Linked DNA regions of Kluyveromyces lactis. The protein of the gene in region 2 interacts with the protein of the main gene of each other region in a biochemical or structural test. Links are inferred from orthologs where the notes say so. Each region holds a gene or a part of one and is shown on either strand. Other genes may lie near its edges.

Evidence for each region.
Region 1: the proteins of ATG13 (region 2) and ATG29 form a complex in vitro, tested with the Saccharomyces cerevisiae proteins (2 studies listed by BioGRID). The link is inferred for Kluyveromyces lactis from reciprocal best matches to the Saccharomyces cerevisiae genes ATG13 and ATG29.

The regions. Positions count from the first base shown.
Region 1 is NC_006039.1:854,048-865,290, reverse strand, and holds ATG29 (Atg29p), read right to left. Parts: upstream 6,887-11,243; coding exon 6,422-6,886; downstream 1-6,421. Other genes in the region: mismatch repair protein MLH3, read left to right, coding at 1-369; APC5 (anaphase promoting complex subunit 5), read right to left, coding at 385-2,190; cleavage polyadenylation factor subunit CLP1, read right to left, coding at 2,353-3,666; TUM1 (thiosulfate sulfurtransferase), read right to left, coding at 3,979-4,878; SET6 (Set6p), read left to right, coding at 5,330-6,433; REV3 (DNA-directed DNA polymerase), read left to right, coding at 7,328-11,243. UniProt on the Saccharomyces cerevisiae protein: Plays a role in autophagy. Functions at the preautophagosomal structure (PAS) in order to form normal autophagosomes under starvation conditions. Also plays a role in mitophagy and regulation of filamentous growth.
Region 2 is NC_006038.1:301,821-314,590, reverse strand, and holds ATG13 (serine/threonine protein kinase regulatory subunit ATG13), read right to left. Parts: upstream 2,782-12,770; coding exon 727-2,781; downstream 1-726. Other genes in the region: PZF1 (Pzf1p), read left to right, coding at 1-576; DPM1 (dolichyl-phosphate beta-D-mannosyltransferase), read right to left, coding at 8,471-9,268; isocitrate dehydrogenase (NADP(+)) IDP1, read right to left, coding at 9,858-11,147; SUMO ligase CST9, read left to right, coding at 12,111-12,770. UniProt on the Saccharomyces cerevisiae protein: Activates the ATG1 kinase in a nutritional condition dependent manner through the TOR pathway, leading to autophagy. Required for autophosphorylation of ATG1 at 'Thr-226' and its dimerization. May also be involved in the regulation of autophagy through SNF1.

The DNA.
Region 1 (11,243 bases), on a different chromosome or scaffold from region 2:
GAAAAAATTAAACATGACAGTGCTTTCTTAAAGCATGTTTTATTACAACACATCTACGACCTAAGAAGTAGCAAACGTAGGAGGATAACACAATTAATGAAAGAACAGCACTCGTCGAATAAATGGTGGATTATGGTTCCGCATATGCCAAGAGTGTATACTGAAATTATAAATTCTAAATCATGTAGGTCGGCAATTATGTTTGGTACGTCACTTTCTAGAACAGAATGTGATGTTATGATATCTGATTTATCGAAATGTCAGCAGCCATTCCACTGTGCGCACGGTAGACCTTCCGTTGTTCCAATTGTTGAAATTAACGACTCTATTTTTGGTTTTAGCGACAAGGACTATGAGATTCTGTTATAGTTTTGTATTCACGCTTCACTCCGATCCAACTTTATTCTCCAATGCTAATGAGGTTTCCTTGTATAGTTGTTTAGCTTCCTCTTTCATAGATCCTGAATATTGCAAAAGAATACTCAAATTCGAATTCATGAGCTTATAACTATCTTGATATTGCTGCCATCCATTTAACATTCTGACCATGCACAATATGGCCTTGGATAATTCATGATCATTTTTTGTTTCTCGACATTTGTCGATATATTGACGAATTATCGGTTGAGCACGAGCAGCATTCCCAGCTGCGAGCATGATGCGAATGCTCATTTGTGTACAAGCAAATTTGAAAGAAATACTAAAATTTTTAGCGTTCACTTCATTAAGCAAGGCCTCAACTTTTTTAATTGCTTCAGAATAGTACTTATCTTCAAGTAGCTTTTCAACATTCGTGAGCTGCCTATGTTTCTTCACGTTATTTAAAAAAGGTTTACCAAAACAACAAGCCATATCATCAAATCCAACAAAAGACCATGTCATTAAAAGTACCTCAGTGGACACACGATTCATATGATCCATCAATCCGTAGTTAGAAAGAGCGCTTACCTTGGTTGCCAGTTCCAAAATATCGGGAATATAACCATTTTGATGTAAATTCATTGCAACCTGAAATGTATACCAATATTGTAACATTTCGGGTGATGTATTCTTTTTATCATTGAAAGGTCTCAATAACTCGTAAATGCTCTTTTGAAGAACCCTTGATTCATCTGGGTACAAAAGAAGATGGTGGATTAAAATATCCCACAAATGGCTCAATCCATGTACATCTGACTTTTCTCTGATAGTATCTATTAATTCGTGAAGTGTTTTCAACGCAAATTCCGGTGAGCCATGATCTTGGTATAGGCTACTGAGAGTGAATGTTTGGCATATATGGGAAAAGTTGGTTGATGAAGACACAGAAACGTTGGAATTTCGGCAGTAGTCGAAATATTGATACATTTTGTCAATTGTTCCCTGGTAATTCTTCGACTTTCGTAGCAATACAATTTCAAGAAGTAGAATATCTGGAAAGCGGGTTCGATCATTCAAATTTGTGTATCTAATAATGGTTTCAGCAAGTTCTGAGCCTAAATTTATGTCTTTCATAGAAATTTGGAGGGCATAGTTCAATATAACCTTAAATTTGTCTGCTGATACTATTAACCATGGCAATGAATTGCCTATACCTTGATTGGTTATAAAAGGTGATTCTGGAAAACAATCATTCGTATGAGTATGTGAGAATATCCTGCTCGTCAAATTTGATGAATTGTTGATATCCTCTCTGTAAATGTTTGATATATCACAGGATAAAAACCTAGTTTTGAATGCCTGAAAAGATTCGACTATTTGATGAATATCTTCAACGAAGAATTCGCTGATATTGGAGTCTATTATAACACGCGGTAGAAGTTCGCAAATCACACTTGAACGACATAAAATTCTCCTGAATTTCGAAAGGACTCCTTGTTGATCTGGAGAAACTATTATTGCATCTCTTAAATGATGAATCAATTCTTGAATGTGGTTAAAACTGGAGATAGAAAATATGAGATTGATCAACTTAAAGGAAGCCTTAGTTTGACTATCCTCGTTCTTTCGGAGATATAAAACTAGATTCTCTAATGTTGGAAGCCCAACGCTATCCAGTTCATCATTTGGAACTATTTGTAATATTCGTGTGATGTTATGGAGGGACAAGTTTATTTCCCCTAGGCAATATAATACGAGTAACGCCACACAGCTGAGATCATACGGATCATAGCCAGTTACTACCCTAATTTTTTGGAATTCGACGGTCATAATGAACCTCAGCAGCAATCTTAATGCTTCTATATATTAGTTTCCTTTTCGGTGTATCTTATTCGCATTTGTGTATATCCTATCATTAAATAAAGTATCCGATTTTGTTGACATTTTTCATAAATATGTAAACAATGACTATGAAAGAATTATAAGTAAGAATCATTCCAAGTATCTGTACTCGGTGAGAATCATAGCTCTATCTGGTATTCTACTCGGTACTGGAAGTAATACCCTGAGTTTTTTCTTTGAATCATTCACTTCTGTGATCAAACCGTACCCGATTATCGATGCAGTGTTAAGTTTATCTTGGCTTTCTTTTCTAGATATATTAGTGATAGCGATAATAGCGTGCTGTAAGTTTGAGCTGTTGACTTCAATTTTGTCAAATACTGTTAGATCAACATCCTTTTTATCCTCTCCATATTCAGAGATATTTCTTGGCCTGAAAACTGTTAATTCTTCAAACCCAGCACCCATAGTGTATGGACTTAGGACTGTTTCTGTGGTACCATAAAAGTACTCTCTTATTTGAACCCTCTGTAAAGCTCTTCTCATGATATCATCAATTGCGATAATTGAACCTGGTGGCGGAATTCTTACAATTGATCCTATTTTAGTCCTGAATACTTCACTCAATTCGATAGCTAAGTCATCACTTTCTGCACATACCACTATTGCGTTAATATCGAATTGTTCTATCATGTGGCCAACTTCGGACCAATCTTCGGTGTCAAGATGTGAAAGTTTAGGGGTATCAATTATTACGCCAGACCTTCTTACTATTGGATCGTTCTTTAATCTCTGTTGCACGCCCGATGCTAGTTGTGTAATCGTCGATAAATATAGTGGTCTATTATCTCTGATATTTTCCAAGCCGTAATTTTTAACAAGAGGTTGCTTGTTATGGAGCTTGGTAGCACCTGTAGTAATACTCTGACCCCATATAGAACTTTCAACATCTAGCAACTCAGAAATGGGTGTCGCTGTAATTGAACCTGGCAAAGAAAAAACACCATCTTGTGGGTTCAAGTTCACTAACAACGGTTGATAATGTCTAATCTTCAACGCGTATGAGCATAGCATTTGAGCTAGCGATGATTTTCCAGTTGAGGCGTTACCTACTATTAGTACTCTAGGTCCATTGAAACTAGAGAGTCGTAATCTTTCTAATGCAAAATTTAGATTGTATATGTAGGCATGATATGACTTATTTTCCGAAACTTTTGGCTCAAGCTCTTCTAAACACTTCCATTCGATCATAGATCGTTCAATAGCATAGATGTTCACTATTACACCTTGGAATGTGTAGGGCACATCGTTGGCAAGCTCTGTTCCCAGTATCTCAGCGATCCCATACTTCACAATAACTGTTAGCTTTGATCCTGCTGGAACTTGAACGGTCCATTCATGGCCCTGCGGAAGAGACGATGTCTTAGTGGTCTCAGAAACCTCGCTGAATTCTACAAACTCCATTTCCTTTTTTCTAGCTTCTCCTGCGAGTGGTAATGGTCGGGCTATCAGCTCATCTACCTTTTGTTCTATGTTAATTAAACCTTTTCTAACACTTAAACACTTTAATTTTGATCAATATATCATTACAGATTTTTCCTAGCATACATACTGAAAATATAGTATAAACCAATTGTGGGCAATTATTGATTTGCGCAGGGTTCTTTTCAAGTGTCAGGGATGCAGAGCTACTGTTCTTTCAGGTAGTACTGCATGTTTCACATCTTCCCTACATTCAGTGTATGGGAAATCACTCATTCTATCGAAGTATTTCTCTTAACTTCCTTTAGCCACTTCTCCATCTTTCATCACCCATTCGGTCCAAGACCCGTCGTAGAGTCTGACATTCTTGACACCTGAAATCTCTAATGCAGTCTTGATTATGACACCTGTGACACCAGTACCACACATTGCAATGGTTGGTTTATCGGTTTCAAACTCATTGCCGGTTTGCGAGACGAAGTCTTGTATTTTCTTTAGCATTTCCTCACGATCTGAAGTAAAAGTTTTATCACTGTTCAAGACCTCTAGGAAGGGCAATGGCTGAACGCCAGGAATGTGACCAGAGCTGAGGCCCGGTCTAGGTTCTGGCGCCTCACCAGTAAATCTTTGAAGACTTCTAGCGTCCAAAACCTGGTAGTTCTTAATATCACCTGTCGACACCAATTTCTGCATATCTTCAAAGGAAACTGTTTCTTTCTCTGCCAAATCAACATCGGACACGTATTCACTCATTTCATATGGAGTAAAACTTGTCACTTTAGAAGTCTCAACGGGGTACCCAGACAGTTTCAGGGCAGGGAAATTGTTCAAGAGATATACGGGATCATGTCCCAAAACAGCTAATGTCCATGCACATCTAGGTGCGCTAAAGTTACCAATTCTATCATAAACCACTAAAATATCATCCTTCTTCAGTCCCAATTCACTCATGGATTTATTGAAAGTACTGAGATCTGGTAACATATGAGGATATTCAGATTTCATGTCTTTGACACCATCAATATCAAAATAAACAGCTCCTTTTAGACGTTCTTCATCTAAAAATTCTTGCTTCCCACTTCTGTTCAAGTTTGGTAAATACCAGGTGGAATCTACTGGGATAATACGGCGCTTAGTTTCCTTGGATAATAATTCTGCGAATGCTTTAGGTGTTAATAATTTGTAAAGTGTCATGATGTTTTAAAAACAATTCAATGATCTGGGAAACGCAATTGGGTAGAGCAATAACAATCAAATTTAGCAAGCCAAATAATGCGACTACAACGTGCAAAATTCTGATTTCCTTCTACGTCGTAACTGTGAGTTCCTTCCCCTTTCCTATCCTTACTTTTGCTGTGGTCAAAGATCTAATTTTGACACGATAGTGGAAAGACTACCACGCGAACTGATGTTTACAGTTCACGTGACTCTTAAAATCTACTGATCTAGTTGAAGATATAATTTCAAAAGGAATTTGGAGCGTTGATTTCAGGCGATGAGATGCAATGAGATGGGCTGCTTGGCAAAATATGATGTTAACTGGTCAGAGGTATCTACACTTAAAATCCTCTGAATTATATATTACGAACTAGAATTCATGGATATATGCCAATTGTGAGGGAGTTAGATATAATACAGGACACGGATGAATGCGGAAGTATATATTAATGACAAAATTGAAGTAAAACGTACAGCATATGGCGGCCGGGCATGTTTTGCTTCAAATAGCATGTTAAAAGGCACCCATCTGTTAGATTTGTCCCAGTGGATCGGATCTAGTATTTCTCACGAGTTCCGTAAGGAAGTGTGCCATTTTTGCCTGAAATATGACGGTGGTAAACCAATGAAAGTTAGGATCAGCTGGGCAGACCTACTGAAATTAGATTTGAACTTGTTAAACCATAAACTAGAGAAGAAGTACAAAGGTAGCGGGCTTTGGTTTTGTACTGAAGAGTGTAAAAACTTCTTCCTAAGTGGACCGAATATTGTTGATCTTATTTTGAATTATGAAATGATATTAACGCATTTCCAATCGATACAGGGTAAAAGCCTGTGCGTGGAAACAGATACGGAATTGTATAAAGACTACGATAATAAGCGGATGCATCAGGAAATTGAGAGTTGTTGGATGGACTTAGAAAGTACTTGGATGCCTAGAGTTTCCAAAATGAAACTTGCCAAGGCCACCAACCAACTTCCAGTGATAGATGAGGATCATTATTCCTGTATCAGGTTTGTGATAGAATGTTTATTTAACATGACACATTTGGATCGAAATAGTGTGAAGTGGAATACGTGGGAAAAACTTCAGTCAAATGAAGTGGAGAAAATAATGAGATTCCCTGTTCTACTGGAGTTTCAGATCAAAGTTTTCAAATGGGTTTATACTCTAGCTCCCCAGTATAGGTATATCATGACAACATCAGTTTTTAGACATATCCTTGGTTCTGAATATGGAAACTCATTTGGCATTTGGGAGACTTCAGAGTCGGACGATGATAGGGAATATCTGGGTTATATGGTTCATCCGGAGGCCTCATATTTTAACCATTCCTGTGTGCCTAACGTGGAGAAAAAGAGGGTCGAAAGAGTCTTTCAATACATTCTACAAACTGATGTGCAGAAGGGAGAAGAGCTCTGTATTGATTACAAGGGTATATTACACCTTGACGTCAACCGGAGAAGGGCAATATTGAAGGATAATTGGTTTTTTGAATGCAAATGTAGTAGATGCCTCTCAGAGTTGTAAACAATCCATCAATGCGTCCTCAAGTGCTGACTTGCTCACACTTAAATTCGAAAGTTCACTACTAGACTCTTGATTATTGGCTAAGTTGTCCGTCTTATCCAATTTATGATTCATTATTCTTGATGCCTGTAAATTTTGGAGAATGTTGTTGTCAACGGAATTTCGTGACTCTGATGAGGACCGGGTATTAGATGTAACGTCTATTTGGTTCGATAAAACTTTTAGTTGATTTTGAAATAAAGTATAACTCCGTTTTTTGAGAAAGGGTTCTGGTGCACCTAAATCAGCCCCCAATTCCTGCCAATCCATATCCTCTAACGAGTCAATTTTTGAGATTTTGGTCCATAGAATCTTATCTCGACGAGAATCCCAAATAAATGGTTTTGTTTCGACAAAATTTTCAGGTCGTTTACCTGCCACTCTTACGTACACTTTTGTGTTGTCATTATTCATTGTAAATACACCTCACACTGTGGATTTTATAGAATCACCAAATTTCTTCCTATACCACAGAATCTAGATTAGAACAATTTAAAGTAACATTTGCTATTAAATTCGATTAGGAACTTGCGGTGAATGTTGTTCAACTAGATCTCACTTTCATCTCGGACAACTCCAGTATACGAGAATCACTTTAGCTAAAATATGATTATTCATTACGTATCAGAATGATCACAATATCCGGGTAATCATGAATACTAATATACCCAACTATAATCAAGTTTAGCCCAACTTTGCAGGATTGCTCATCGCTATTTCTCATCTGAAGTTTGGTCACAGTATATCACCCATTAATCAAGGATATTACTTTTATACCATTCACATCGTTTACATCAGAAGATATAACTGTGCTACATTAAGGTGACTGTAATCTGATATGATGATTACTTGCAGATGAGTGATATTTTTGGTTCTTTAGACTCCAGCTTAGACTCCAATGAAATCAACATACAGATTAATAATTCAGACAGCTATCAATGCTTCCCAACTCTATTGGATTGTAAAACTAGTAAGAGCCTTCCTGGACTTCGATTTGTTCAGGTGCCAGTACTAAGGTTCTATGGATGTTTATCTACCGGACACAAAGTTCTAATTCATTGCCATGGCATTTTCCCTTACATATTCATCAAATATGACGGACATTCGAATGATAAAGCATCAGTAATACGGAATAGATGTACCAGTTTGCACAAAATACTTGAGACACGGATGATTGAAACTTTTACCAAAACAGATTTTAAAGAGAAGCTAACTTCCCTGAAATACATTGCTAATGTGTCCGTTGTCAAAGGCGTTCCATTTTACGGATACCACGTAGGATATGAACCTTACTATAAAATTACTCTTTTGAATGGTTCATATAGTAATAAACTCTCTGAATTACTTAGAGATGGCAGAATATTCACCTCAAAAGTGGATGTCTTTGAGGCTCATATACCTTATTTATTGCAAATGATGGCTGACTATAACTTATTTGGTTGCGGATGGTTAAAACTATCCAAATGCTATTTTCGGCAACCTGTTCTGTTAACTGATCTAGATATGAATGAAATATTGCACACGGACTCTTTGGAACGTTTTTTGAAAAAACACTTGCATCCGAATCAAAATGTTTTAGACATAGATCCATTTCATCGAATTGGAAAGACCTTTCTTGAAATGGATATTATTCCACAGTTCATTTTAAACAGAGAAGAAATTCAATTCAGGGATTTACACCATGATTTTGTTGAGCTTAAGAAAGACCTTCAAACATCAGATCAAGGATATGTTAATTCTACAAAAGATATATGGAAAGAGATACAACTGCTTAGGAAAAGGAAAGGGCTTGCTGAATATGAAGGATTAAAAGAAATATTTCGAGAATCTCAATTACAATATAATTGGAAAGAAGATGAAAGGTTGGTGAAACACTTTGATGAAGCTAAGAAACGAATGTCTTCCCTTTTTAACAAAGAAAAAGCTTTAAATTTTGACAACTTTGTGGATCCTTTCATTAATGAGAATTTTTTTGCAAGTACCAAAGACGCCCTTCAAGAATTATGGCCCAAAATACCAAGGAATGCTAGTAGTAAAGTATTCTGTTGGTCAGAAGTAGAATTCAAATTGAACAACCAATATACTTCTGTTCGTGAACAAAAAGTAGCGTCTACAAACACTAAAAATATTCCCATTTTGCTAAATATTTCCTCCAATGAATCGCACTCTTCACATGTCAGTTCCAAACGTGCGGAGGAATCTTCATGTCATGACGATATTGCTAATGAAGCAATTGCTAGGAAACTGGCAAAACGAAAAACATCTGCTATTAGAAAGTCAACATTTCGCCCGATGATCAGACCTAGCGTAACACACGCTAACATCAAGGAGAGTTTATCTGCTAACCAAATTGAAGAAGTTCAGTATAACGATCCATTTTTCTCCAATCCACTTGATTGTAAAAGGCTACAAACGGAAATGGCTGGTCGAGTGTTCAAGCTATCAAGTGATCATATCCTCTTTAAAAGAAGCATCCGTAGTAACGATACAACAGCAACATTAACTTCTTCAGGAAGTGTATATGCAAGAAGCAGATGGAAATATATAAGACCAAAGCCGTCTTTTAAAAGAATAGCCAATGCGATGAAGCCTTTCAAAGGTAAATTCTCGATGGTGGAGGGGAAAACACCAGAACTACCATTCGGATACAAGTTCAAGAGCAATAAAATAGAAAAAAATAATAACGCTTCTAATAGAATGACCCATTTCACCATGGAAATTCACGTCAATACTCGTGAAGATAAGTTTCCAGATCCTAAATATGATGCTGTCAGGATGATATTTTGGAAAGTGCAAGATGGAACTTTTCCATTCGACCTGGATATTACTCAAGAAGGTGTTTTGATATTTCTAGACGATGTCTCGACAGAAAATTCATGGAAAACTGCCGATCCTAGTGTTCATATAACTGCTTATTACGATGAATTGGAAATGATATATGCATTAGAAGATTTAGTGAGGTTTTTCGATCCTGATATCTTGTCAGGATACGAAATACACTCTTCCTCGTGGGGCTACTTGATTGATAGATGTCACAAGGGACATGATTATGATGTGGAAGATGAACTCTCTCGAGTCGATTATAACCAGAGTAGCAAAAAAAAAGACAGATGGGGTTACACTCACGCAACAGCATTTTCGATAACGGGAAGACAAATGCTAAACATATGGAGGCCTCTCCGCTCTTCTTTGAATCTTCTCGATTATACATTAGAAAATATTGCATTTCATGTTTTACACCAACGGTTACCTTTTTATTCGTACAAAACCAGGACAGAGTTCTATGAATCTATGGACGAAACTTCAAAAAGGTGTCTCCTATTTTACTGGATCACAAGACTTCGAGTAAATTTCAAGCTTTTAGAGACTCAGAATATAATTGGAAAAACCATCGAGCAAGCAAGACTTATCGGGATTGACTTTTATTCTGTCCTTTACCGTGGCTCACAATACAAGGTTGAATCCTTTTTAATTAGACTTTGCAAATCAGAACAATTCATTCTGATTTCTCCAAGCCGAATGCAGGTCCGTAACCAAAAAGCACTCGAATGTATACCACTTGTGATGGAACCTTCATCTGCCTTTTACAAGAGTCCTTTATTAGTTTTAGACTTTCAATCATTATACCCATCCATTGTTATGGCATATAATTATTGTTACAGCACTATTATCGGAAGAGTTGAATCATTAAATACTAAAAATAATGAAATAGGTATCACAAGGTATGATATCCCTGAAGATTTACTAACTTTAATATCTGATTATATCACCATCTCACCAAATGGTATCGTCTTTGTCAAAAAAGAACTGAGAAAGTCAGTTTTGGCTAAGATGTTAAAGGACATTCTTGATACGAGATTTCTAATGAAAAGTACTATGAAGGAACTTAATGATGAACATAACCTTATTAATATGTTGGATAATAGGCAGGAAGCCTTAAAATTACTTGCTAATGTCACGTACGGATACACATCTGCTTCATTCTCTGGGCGTATGCCATGTTCCGACATTGCAGATAGTATAGTTCAGACTGGCAGGGAAACATTAGAGAGGGCGATCGAGGTTATAGAAACTACTAAAGAATGGGGGGCTAAAGTAGTTTATGGAGATACAGATAGTTTATTTGTTTACCTTCCAGGGAAATCGAAAGATGAAGCATTTGTAATCGGAAGGCAGATCGCTGAAGAAATAACAAGACAGAATCCGAAACCCATAGAGTTGAAGTTTGAGAAAGTGTATCATCCGTGCTTTTTAGTAACCAAGAAACGTTATGTAGGCTTTTCCTATGAGTCTGAATATCAAAAAGAACCAAAATTCGATGCAAAGGGTATAGAAACTGTTCGAAGGGATGGAACACCAGCACAACAAAAAATCGTGGAAAAGGCACTTAGAATTATGTTTGAAACCACTGATTTATCCATGGTAAAAGAATACTTAATTGGAGAATTTGACAAAATTATCACCGGCAGAGTTAATATTCAAGATTTCTGTTTCGCTAGAGAAGTTAAGCTAGGCCATTATAAAAGTGAAAAGACTGCTCCCCCTGGTGCCCAAATTGCCATGCAAATGATGGAAGAAGATGCACGTACAGAACCCCAATACAAGCAGAGAGTACCGTATGTCGTGAAAATGGGAAAAATAGGTGAAACTTTGAGCTCTAGATGCCTCTCACCGGAGGCTTTCTTAAGGTCTAAAACGTCTAGGTTGGATTATACATACTACATTGTCAAAAACATTATACCTCCTCTTCAGCGGTTTTTCCAGTTAGTAG
Region 2 (12,770 bases):
CCTATTTGTGGGAAACCTTGTGTTGCTGAATCAGGTTTACGGAATCATATGATGATTCATGACGAGAGTTTGGTCACTAAGAATTGGAAATGTTCTTCATGTCCAGATACATCATTTGCGAAGAAAACTCAGCTAGTACAACATTATGAAGAAAGTCACAAAGATGTAGATCCAGAATTGCTATTACTGCCGACGGACGCTGATGAAGATACGAATATTAAAGTGAATACAGATATAAAGATATCAGAAACGGAGGACAGTTTTAGTTCAGGGAAAAAAACGTTACTTGATTTCCCCTCTTTCTCAAAGAAACGGAAAGTTGACGAGCTTGGATCAGTTGAAGCAGAAATAAAGATAAAGAAGTATATTGAGTCAGGGAAGACAACCAAATCATTGTTATTGAATACAGTGGGTCAGAAAAGAAAATGTCCATATACCAATTGTAACAGAACATTCAAATCAAAAGAAAAATTCGATACTCATATTGAAAAGCACAAGATTCATGAATTAAAGATGAAGATTCTTGAGGACGAGAACCAAAAATCCTCTAAGAATGACCACGCTAGGAAGATTTAAAAAATTTCAGGTGAAGTTTGTATGTGATGTTTATATCTATATATATACACATATATATATTCAAGTATAAATTATTTATAAAATGCATTTTTGAAAGAATGGTTTGAGGTCGTGAAACCATTGTATTAATATTAATTATTGATGTCATTATTAGTTGGTTAGATTCATATCACTCATAACAAATAACAAATCATCATCTTCATCATTTTTTTGAGAGCTATTATGATGTTGCGAGCTAGTATGCGGTTGTGCTCCTTCTGTGTGCAGTGGGTCGGGGCTCATTTCACTCTTATGAAATTTTGCATGGGTAGTGGTAGCCGATGTTGTAGGGTGAGAGAGGTTGAGATGTTTCAATGGAAGCTGGTTTCTTGGGTAAGAACTTACAGAAATACTTCTTATAGATCTGGGCGACCCCATAACCTGCTCAGTAGTAGATGTTCCAGCGTTAAATGAACGTTTCATTAACATTTCATCCTCATCGTCATCTTTATTTATGGTTGCTTCATTGCTGAAGTGCATTCCTTTCATGTGAGACTGTTCGTCCTCTTTAGAATCTTCATTAGTCGTTTCCATAGTTCCTACAGAACCTCTCCTGTTTATGTCAACGTTGCTTCCAGTTCTGCTCAATAGATTATGCTTGTGTCTATCCAATGAGCTTTTCCTGCTGGTAATCAATTCCGCATTACTATTGTTTCTACTACCTTGAGATAGCCTGGAGGGAATGGAACCATAATTTGGTGAAAATGAAGGTATTGGAGAATGTGAATTTGAGCCAAACCTAACATTAGGCTGGTCGATGGACATACTCATCGAAAGGTTATCGCTAAGAGCATCGTTATTACTTTTCATGGACTGAAATCGCATCAATGAGTTTGAGATATCTTGTTGCGGCAATATTGTATTAGGTTTCATGTTCAACTCTTTCTTGTCTTCCAAGAGTTTCACAAACTCTAACAAATCTTCCGGTGGGTTTTCAGTGGATTTCCTTGGTTTAGCGGTCCTGTCAAAACTTTCTGATCTTCTAATACTAGAATGACGGCGGATCCTGCCAAAAGATGAAGAATATTTCGATCCGCTACCAACACTAGAAAGTTCTGGTGGTACATCACCATTTACTATAGTAGACCCGGCACTACCACGTTGAACTTTCAACGCAGCAACCACTGATGAACTCGAAACATTCCTTGATAAACTTGGAACAAGACTCGTAGTCGACTGGGCACTGCCACTCTGTACAAACGAGCCACTCCCAACTGATCCAACTTTAAAAGGTTGCAGTTTAGAAGAGATGGATTGCCTTCTTGCCGATGAACCTTCTAGGGGAAAAAGCGTCGCATTGATGGTATTTGTCTTGGGGGAAACTGACATAGATCTGCTACAATTGGATGAAGCCCTTCTATCAGGTACCGTGGTAGTTTCATTAGATAAGGATGGTGTCATGTATCGTTTTTGTAAATCATCTGAATCAATAACATAAAAGTCGACATCTTTTCTATAAGACACCGTGATACGCAACGAGCCAAATGTAGTTTTTATCGGTGTAATCTTTCGTTGTTCTAGATGTGAAGCAATGTTTGTTTCATTCATTGTGTTGGAATATGATGCAATAATAGGTTTACTTAAACCGACCCTCCCCTTAGAGAGAATAGGCTTAGAACCGTCAAGTAGTCTAGTTTGAACATTTATAAGTGCGGGCTGTTGTGAATTGTGTGGCTTGGTAATGATGTCGTTGGCAGGTAAGAGTTGGGTAAGCGTGTACAAGTAGCGGAACAACAATACCAATTGTTTATGCAAGTTTTCAGGATCATTTGAATCGATGGAGTCATCTATCGTCTGCTTATCAAGTTCTACAAGCCATCTTTCCAGTACAATCTCAGTTTTCTTGCCCCCTTTACAAACCATCCATGGATTACCATCCGCGTCATGAAGATACACCATATGGTTGGGTTGCAAAGCTCGTAGATCCAAGTACGTTTCTATTACTAATGGCGGCATTGTCTTCACTCCATCAAACGTGATCCAGGGCTGGATCTGAGCCTCCAACAGAGGGTCGCCGCGAGTTTCAATGTTAAACAAATGATTCCCATCCCTCAGCGCCTCCTCCGTATCAAAGTTATGTGCTACCTTGGACTGCTCAAGTAGAAGCGCAGACTTAAGAAAGAAGTTATTTATGAGTTCTATCACCTGAACTTCACCTTCTGACATCCTGAAGTTTGCCTGTTCTTTTTTATGGTCAGTGTTATTAAAGCAGTAAGAACAACTAATCTCTTTCACTCTAATATTAAACCAAATGTAAAAATGTCTTATTCAAGCCGCTCTGTTCATTTGAACCTACCACTTACAAAAGCTTTCTCTCCACCGTTTTGTCCTGTAAAAGCTTTCTCTCTATGTGAAAACTTGCTTTGGCAAATAACTGGTGCTTAATGACTCACAATGTTCCAACTTTCAAGGGGTTTCCCTTATTTACGTAGTTATTATTTATATCCAAATTCCTTATTATCTATTTTGTTATTTTATTTTTTAGGATTTCTCTGGCTTGTTTTACTATCAACAAACGAAAACCGTTAGATTTGGGATGACAGTGGAGAAAGAACCACAGTTCCTTGTGGTTAAGAGGAAGATTTCCAGACAACAGAACCGGAGGGGCAGTTTTCGGTTATTTGTAAATTTAAAATGCATAATATATAAGTATGATGAGTATGAGTTTGGCTATGATCTTGCATATATATACATATATATATTTCTTATGATTTTTATTGTTTTTATCTGTTTTATAATCTTAAGGGTAAGTGGTTAGGCAGAGAAAAGTAAATTATTAAGGCGAATCTTCATATCGGTCCCATAAATCGTAGAAAAAGTCTAGGAGACACCCAGTACTCCATGCTTGAGTAGGAGATGAATCCTGACAAATATCCCCGTCTTTGTTTGTTAATTCTGTTAATCCCGCCCATTCACTTTCTCTAATCCATTTACGGTGTCCGTCTAATCTCTTGTATAGCTGTTGGTAGAGGTACGACGATGGCAAGGTCTTTGAAGGATTTTGAGCTAATGGGTTTGAGAGGAAATGGAAGTGATGGTATGCACGCAAAAAGTAACCATAGCACCATACCCATTCTGGGCCCTGGTGGTAGTTTCTGCCTTTCGCGGTGTGGAAATCTGTCGAATCTTCGGAATTTCTGTAGTACGGTCTATAGTTATAGTCCGTTGGATCCAACGTCCTCATTCCAACAGGGCCCCGTAGGGCTTCATCTGCAATGTTCAACGCATTGTATGCATAGTCAGGGGTGAAAAGTTCTGGCGCCACTGTCATAGCAATGGCAAAATTTGGTCTCAATTGATAATCTTCGTATGGTTTACCTGATCTGTACAAATCCTTATAAATTCCTCTTCTGTTCACTAAACTGGCATCGATATCATATCGATCATCTTCATCTTCAGAAGATGGAACGTAGAATTTCATCTCGAAGTTTGTTAAGACTAGATCATTCCATTCTTTTAACGAAACCTTTTCTCCATTGGGCTTTTCGACATGATCGTATTTAAAGAGTCCCTTCTCGTGTAACTCACTTAAGAATCTCAAGCAACTTTTTAATAACCCGTTGATTTCAATAGCAGCACCATCTCTTGGTGTCCCTGGAATACCAACTGAGCCAGCTAGCTCACTTTCACCCATTTTGTCCATCCAGGTACCACAGTTTGACTGTGATCCACCAAATATTAATCCATTTGTCCAGTCGACTTTCACCTCAACGTTGAAACCCTCATCCTTCATAACTCTATCAAGGTTTGGGCCGGCATTTGCTTCTCTATACTTGATTCCTTTGGCATGTCTCGAAACGATTTCATAGAGAATATCTTCAATAGTAGATTCGTAACTGAAAGCCTCTGGGTCAGTCCATTGAATGTAACGGTCATCTTTAGGGAATCTTCTTGAGACCCTTTCCTTCAAGATGCTTTCTCCATTTGGAACCGTTTGAACATAATCTTGAACTGACTGAACGAAAAACCATGCCGCGTCTCTTGCATTGTATCTAGGATTTCTACCAGCGTCCAAAAGGTTTGGAATGAGACCATGCTTTAATGTTTTAGCAAAAGCAAGAAGATGGTTCTTTGCTTCATCAAAACGTCCTGTTGCCAAAAGTAACCCTCTCAAAGAAATGAATACGTCTCTACCCCAGCATCTCATGTATTGTGTGTACTGAAATGTGGTAAACCAGCAGCCATGCACGAAACATTTTGATCAGGTAATAAAGATGTTGAAGTCATCACAGAAACCATTTGCACCGAGGTCATTGCAAGGCGTTGCACAAAAAGGTTTGAGAGACCAATATTCTCAGACATCTGGTAAATAGCTCTAAATCTGCAAACCTCATATGCAATACCAATTACTAATGCGAAGAAACGCGGGACCAAGTAGTATGGAACTTTCTTGACGCGATCCATTCTTGCTTTAAGCCACTGTTGGATTTCAGAAATCCCAGGCATTTCCCTATAATAGTCAAGGCGGTCTACCACGTAATCCAGAGCCCAATGACCTAGCCTCAAGTTTTTGCTTAATGGATGAGCGAGATCATTACTAAATATGATGTTTCTTAAGACAGACACCCATCCTTGGAGCCCACAATACACTAGTGGACCATAATCTGGCACCGTATATATACCTCCTCTGTTAGCACTGACATCAGACTCTTCTGCACTGCATCTGTACAAAACCGCATTCAATGAATGTAAACTCAACTTTTCAGAGGCTTTTAAAGCACCAGTTCTAATAAATTCGTCTAAGTCTTCGGTAACTCCGCATTGTTTTGTTTTGAATACAGCAATCGAACCTGCAGGGAAGTCGTGTGGTAAGCTGATCGTGGTATCACCTAAACTTTCATTATATTGAATAACAAATCCATCCAATTCCACCAATTTTGTGGGGATTCCTTTGATTATCTTGTCATCATCTTTAGGCAGACCGCCATCTTTAACTAGGGAATAACTGAAAAGAAGTTCTGCAGTGGACCCCGATAGAGTGACGGTAGGTAACCTTTGATCATAATCATTCTCACTGAATTTTGTTCTCGCAATTAAGTAGTAGCCATCACCGAGTCTAGCATGAGTTCTGTGGTACGTGATAAACTGACCATCATGGTGAACATGCATTTCGGAATCTTCTGCATCATCACTCTGCGTTGCTATGGTTGCTCGAATTGCATTAAATTTCTTTTTCACAATGGATATACCATCATCTTTAACCACTGAATATTGACGTTTCTCTTTGACAACATCTAATAAATGAGGATATATCTCATCATAACCATAAACAGACCCGACAGCGGAAGAACTCAATCCAACGAGAGCGGCATTTGGTAGAGTATCTTCTACAGTTCTTTTTTGATAAGGAGTTTCGTTATCATGAGTACAATCCATGAATAAAGCATGAGGTGGAGCGGCAGATAAAAATCTTGGGATCTTAATTTCGGAGAGACTTTTAAGTTCATCGCCTAAACGGTTGTTATAATCAACAAAATCTTCATCGAGTTCCAATTCGGGACTATATGGGAAATCATCAAGTGGCATGAATTTATAAGAACCAGTCGGTCTTCCTCCATGTCTATGAATCAAACTTGAAAGTTCTTGCTCTGACCAAGCTTGCATGGCTTCTCTTATCAAAGATGAAATTGCAAGCTTCTCTACAAAAATACAATCCATTTGCTCTGATCCCGAAAACAATTCAGCGACTACGTAAAGATTTGGATTATATTTTCTTGCCAGGTCCAAGAAGTACTCGCCCACGTGAAGTGGGGTAGAATGACAATTATCGATTCTAAACCCGTCAAAAATGGTTGCCTGAAGTCTTGTATACTCTGACATCCTCTCCCATAAATACGGAGAATCCTCAGGTGCGGAACCGTACCTTAATTTCACACAGTCCCCCCAGACAATCACTTCTCTACGTAGGTATGCCTTGGAGTCCTTTGATGCAAAATCTACTAGTGGATTAGAGTTCCAAATCCAGCCATTGTTAGCCAATGCATATTCCTTACCATCTTTGGCAAGCAATCTGGTGAAATAAGGCTCAGTTAATGGCGATTCAGGAGTGATTTTTCCCATCTTTGGACCATGATCATCAATCCGCAAATACTTTATGCGATTGTATAATTGGTCTAAGATTACGCGAACGTCCTCATCGTATTCCTTGTACAAGGGTAAATTCAATTCATCCAAAATTTTGCGTGCTTCATTTGCAACATTGCCATTCCATTCTTCCCCATGAAGTTGTCTCAAAATTGTGATAAACTTGGATATTATCAAGGTATTTGCAAATCTTGTGGATAAAGAACCAAAGTCATCATTAGTACAAGAGCTACGAATGAAACCGGCCAATTTTACCAAGTCATCTTCAACATCACCAGGAACTGTTATAGCTTCCAATGGAGTCGAATCCCACTGATCTGCAACTTCTTTCAATAAAGCATCGATGTTTACTGCATAGAATTCCCATAATTTCAAAGAGCCTAAAACATGAATTTTGATACCATCCATAATAGAGATAAGATCTTCTACAGATGAAATATCCGTTGGATATCCAAGTGCCTTCATGTAACCACTGAATTCAAGTAGACTTTTATCTAATTCAATAGCAGGGAGTAAATGTGGTGCAGTAATGTGATTGTAACCAGATTCTGGATGCTCTAACAACCATGGAGAGTTGTTAGCAGTATGATTGTAAACCACATCTGTTAATGCGAGAATGTTGTGAGTTTTATGCAACTTTTGGACCATTTGCTTCACATCCTCTACGGTGTTAAAAAAGTTGGAGTCGTAGGTCAATTGGTCATAGATAGAATAAGGAGAATCGGACTCTCCTCTTTGTTGAAGAGGTGTAAAGTGGATCATGTTATATCCCTTGTTATCGATTTTGCGAAATATTGGGTCCCAATCTTTCCCCATCCATTTCGAAACTACACTCTGTAAGGCAATTGAATTTAAGGGAACAAATTTATCGTTCAAGTAAAGGACTGGTGGTACCACAAAATAAAACTTCCTAGTTGTTTCCAACTGGTCCTGTTCATTACGATAAGAGAGGTAAAAACAATAAGACCCCGGATTAAATACTTTCAAATCAATAAAATCATCTTTATGGAAGCTTGCCTTGATATATTTCTTATGGAATTTGTTCCTATCAAATTCGATGTCATGGCTTTCGGGACAATTAGTCCAAATTAAACCATCTCGAGCAACGGGGCAGCCTGCTGCCACAACCAAACGAACAGTGTACAATGGATCTTCTGGAGCTTTATTCGGTAGAATAGGAAGCGATGGCATGGTTAGCACACCATGGTTGTAAGAACAACTGACTTGTGGCTCACCATTATCATTCAATCTTAAGAGTACAGCTCTCATATCAGTGCCACGTTACCCTTCAACCTTTGCACTCTCACAATGTTTGTTTAAAAGCCGAATAAACGCAAACACACGGATAATCAGATAGCCTAGATTCAAAGAACTTATAAGTACTTTACCCATAAACTAACACTTGTGAGTTGATTATTGAGTCTTCTGCTTGTCGTTCGACATACCCCCCCTCATTAATTGCTATTGGTTAGTATCCTTTAAATTACACTTCTTTGATCATTTGTGCATGGGCGTCCCTTTAAAGTTTCTATGCATCATCAGGGTAACGAGAACGAGAATGTTTCTCGAAGATCATCCTTGAGTCAGGTGGTATTATTCCCCAGATATTAAGGAAAGTAAACTAGAGCTAAACCACCTTTTAGTTGATTGGGCATTGAACAATATTCTAGGAACACTTGTGAAATACGGTTTTATGGATATTTAGTTATTAAGAGTTTATTATTGTTTGCTATGATAAAGAAAAGTTCGTTCTTGTTCAGTATCTCAAGAACTAGAATACCAAGTGGTAAGCCTGGTACAGAATGTACAGTGCTAGGATAGTCCAGAATAGGAAGAACAGCAGTAGGTTGTTGCCACCATATTTATAGGTGTATAACTCTCTCAATTGGTGCAAATACTGTATGATGACCTTCCCACTCAACTTAGATTCACCTTCAGTTCTGACACCGAAAAAGAAAGGAACTTCGCCAATAGGTTCTTGTGGAGGAATTGGCAACTTAACCAACAAATCCAAGGCAATCTTGAAACCCTTTGGATTAATATTCTTGGCATCCTTGTGAATCAAGTACTTCTTTTGCAAACCGAAGAACCCACTCATCGGATCAGAGGCAGAAGTCAAAGGTTTAGCCATAGCTCTAGCACCACTAGAAATGACTCTACGGTACAACGGCCAGTCCTTGTCGATACCGACACCAGCAGCGTATCTGGTACCCAACACGAATGGATGTGTTCTCAAAGAATCCAACAATTGTGGAACACTTTCTGGTGGATGTTGCAAGTCCGCATCCATGCAAACCAAATATTCACCCTTGGCTTCATGGAAACCCTTCAAGACAGCGGAAGAAAGACCTCTTTCGTCGGTTCTGACGATGATTCTGACGTTGTAACCTTGCTTCTTCAAAGCCTCAACTTCTTCCACAGAACCGTCCTGGGAATTGTCATCGACGAAGATCAATTCAGTGATATTGGAACCTTCTTTACCCAAGGCTTGGAATAACCTGGTGGTCAATGGCTTGATATTTAGCTTTTCGTGGTACGCTGGAACAACAACAGAGTTTTCAATAGACATTTCTTATAGTATAATCTTATGTTTATTTCTTGAGCAATTGGTATAAATATATCCGGTCTTTATTAGTTATAGATAATAGCAGTCAAAAGGTTCCTGTTTCCCCAAAGAAAATATAACAGCGTGTGATTTGCTAACAAAGCTCGACTGGGTACTCTAATACAACTAAACAAAAACAATACTTCAAGTATTAACTACAAGAATTGTCAGGCATGTTTCTTTATATGTTTCTCTTTTGTAACTGTTAAAATATTGAACATGTTGTCCACTTTCGATTTTTGGACTTGAGGAAGGACAGACAACATCGGGTGAAAAATGAGGTGTGTGAGCCTGGTACATGTGACAGAGGCAGGGTAATGAAATTACTAGGACAGCGACAAGAGAAGCTATTATTCATAGAACGAACGACAATTTAGGATTATGCTACCGTAGTCTGCAAGGAAACTTCTAATAGGTATTTGGGATAGAGAGGGATTAGTGTAGTTATTTGTGCGTTTATATGTTTTATATAGAAATATTACTATTAAGAAAAGAGCCCATATATGTGTGTAATCTTATTCATCGACGTACTCTCCTGTTCTTGAAAGCATTTTCACTGCAGAGATTTAACGTCATTTCTGAATCTCTTTTCAACAGCATCCAAGAATTCGTCGGTGTTCACATAACTTGATCTGTCAGTGTTACCACAGGCAAGGGCCAAATCTTTGGTCATGATACCGTCTTCTTGGACAGTGTTCAAAGTGGATTTTTCCAACAAGTTGGCAAATTCGACGACTTCTGGAGTGTTGTCTAGTTCACCTCTCTTGGCCAAACCTCTAGTCCAAGCGAAGATGGAAGCGATGGAGTTTGTTGAGGTTTCTTTACCCTGTTGGTATTGTCTGTAGTGTCTAGTGACGGTACCGTGAGCAGCTTCACTTTCGAAGGCCTTACCGTCTGGGGTCACTAGAACAGAGGTCATCAAACCAAGGGACCCGAACCCTTGAGCAACGATATCGGATTGGACATCACCATCATAGTTCTTAAACGCAAGGATGAATCCACCCTTAGATTTGATCATTTGGGCAACCATATCGTCAATTAAACGGTGTTCGTACCAGATACCCAACTTTTCAAATTCGGATTTATACTCGGAATCGTAAATTTCCTGGAAGATATCCTTGAATCTACCATCGTATTTCTTCAAGATAGTGTTCTTGGTGGAAAGATAAAGGTTCAATTTCTTGGTGATAGCCAATTTGAAAGAGGCATGAGCGAATCCACGGATGGATTCGTCTGTGTTGTACATGGCCAAAGCGATACCAGGACCCTTGTAGTCGTAAACTTCCAAAGTCTTGGTCTCGGATCCATCAGTTGGCTTGTAAACCAATTCCAACTTACCAGGACCTGGAACGACAAGATCGGTGGCCTTATATTGATCACCATGGGCATGTCTACCGATGACAATAGGTTTTTCCCATCCAGGCACTAATCTTGGGATTCTAGGAATGACAATTGGTTCACGGAAAACAGTACCACCAAGGATGTTTCTGATGGTACCATTTGGTGATTTCCACATCTTTTTCAAATTGAACTCTTTAACACGACCCTCGTCCGGTGTAATAGTGGCACATTTCACACCAACACCGTATTTCTTGATGGCATTAGCAGAATCCACAGTAACTTGATCGTTAGTGGCATCACGGTTCGTCACGGAAAGATCGTAATACTTCAAATCCACATCCAAATATGGTAAGATAAGTTTACTCTTAATCTTATCCCAGATAATTCTAGTCATCTCATCACCGTCCAACTCCACAACGGGAGTCTGAACTTTAATCTTGCGCAACCCAGTTGCAGCAGAGCTGGAAAACTGACGATTAATACTCATCACTGCGGCCTTCATAGTGTCCTGTCCTGTCCTAATTCAATTTAGCTCAGTATACAACAACCGTCGAATATACCAACCTTAACCTGACCTAAAGTTATAAGGATACAGAAACTTTATAGCGCAGAGACGCAAATATACATGCATATATATATAATAGACTTAACCTCATCACTAATCACAGTTAAAAGCCAAAATATCCTTCTCAAAGCAGTGATAGAAAAATAAAGCGAATAGCTATAATAGAAATGATAGAAGAGTCATTCATATAACTTACTTAGGGCAATGGCAATCGCAGTACTTTTGTAGTTGCAATGAGAAGGTTACCGAACATGGAAGTAGCGGGTTTGTAATATTTCAGAGCCACGATTGATGCAATAATTTTGGGGGTAGTAAACTGCCCGAAATTTGTTTATTTGCTAGTAAGTCGCCGTTTTGGGCTCTGTTTTGGGGCGCTTTTGCTAATTTGTCGTGGGGAACTTCGTTACCAATGCGACGGTTAGGCTTTGTGAGACGAGAAAAAAACCGGATCAACTCGGGATTCAGGATAGACAGCGAAAGCTTCGTACTTTTCCAGTAGTGGTGGTTAATCGGTGATATGAATTGGGTGTTTGGTAGGACGCGAAGGCAGGGCCTGAGCCGGCCATGAGTCAGGGACTGGTTTTGGCATTGGCTTTGGATTTGTAGCGTGCGTCTTCCCTCCTATATACCCAATGATCATGTCAGCAATACTGGAGATGATAGCGGGAATTAATCCGTACACCACGTGACTTCCTTAGTGTCACGTGGTTTGTGATGTATTTCTTCTGTTTCCGGGTGACATTTTTTCTCGTTGGGTTTGGGAAATTGATTTCGGCGGCTAATTGTATATTTCTTACAATACAGCCATTGTTTGTATCATTTCTTGAAACTGACCAAACCCTCAGTTAAATACTTCCAAAACTAAGTTAGTAGTACAACCTCTCTTCCCATTTGAGTCTAATGTCTCCGCCAGTTGATTTGAATCAGATATGGGTAAACTGTTCCCAATGCCATAAACCGTATAACAACCAGCAAGGAACAAGCAATGGAAAGTTCTGGCTCACATCATGTGCTCATATCCTTTGTGATAAGCATTACCATAATGGAATGACGGTTTGTCCCGTGTGCACGACGAGTAGAATATCAGTACTTCCGTTAGATGGTGATAGTTCCAAACTACCGACAGAAGTGCAATCGTTCTTTAAACCCTTTGTATCACAACTGGAACCATTATACACAGTAGCTAATTTCCAGTGGGAGTCAATGGTGCAATTATGTGAATACTATCAAGATATGTGTCTGAAGTTACAGGAAAAGTGTAACAGACAACGACAGCTGTTGTACCAGGCAAAGGAAGAATTAGACAAGTTTACTGCTTTGAAGAAGGAATTAAGAATGAAGGACACCAACAGAGACGTCATATCGATGGTTACTAGAAATGACTCCAGAAATTTAATAAACGCAAAGGATGGGATTGAGCGTGATAATCAAGAGTCGTTCATCAGTAAACTACAAAACTCTCACCGATTGAAACCTTCACGGACAACTTCAGATGATGGAAACGAATCTCCAAATATTTCACACGTTCTTGCTGAATCTACGTCAATTGGAAGAACGGCA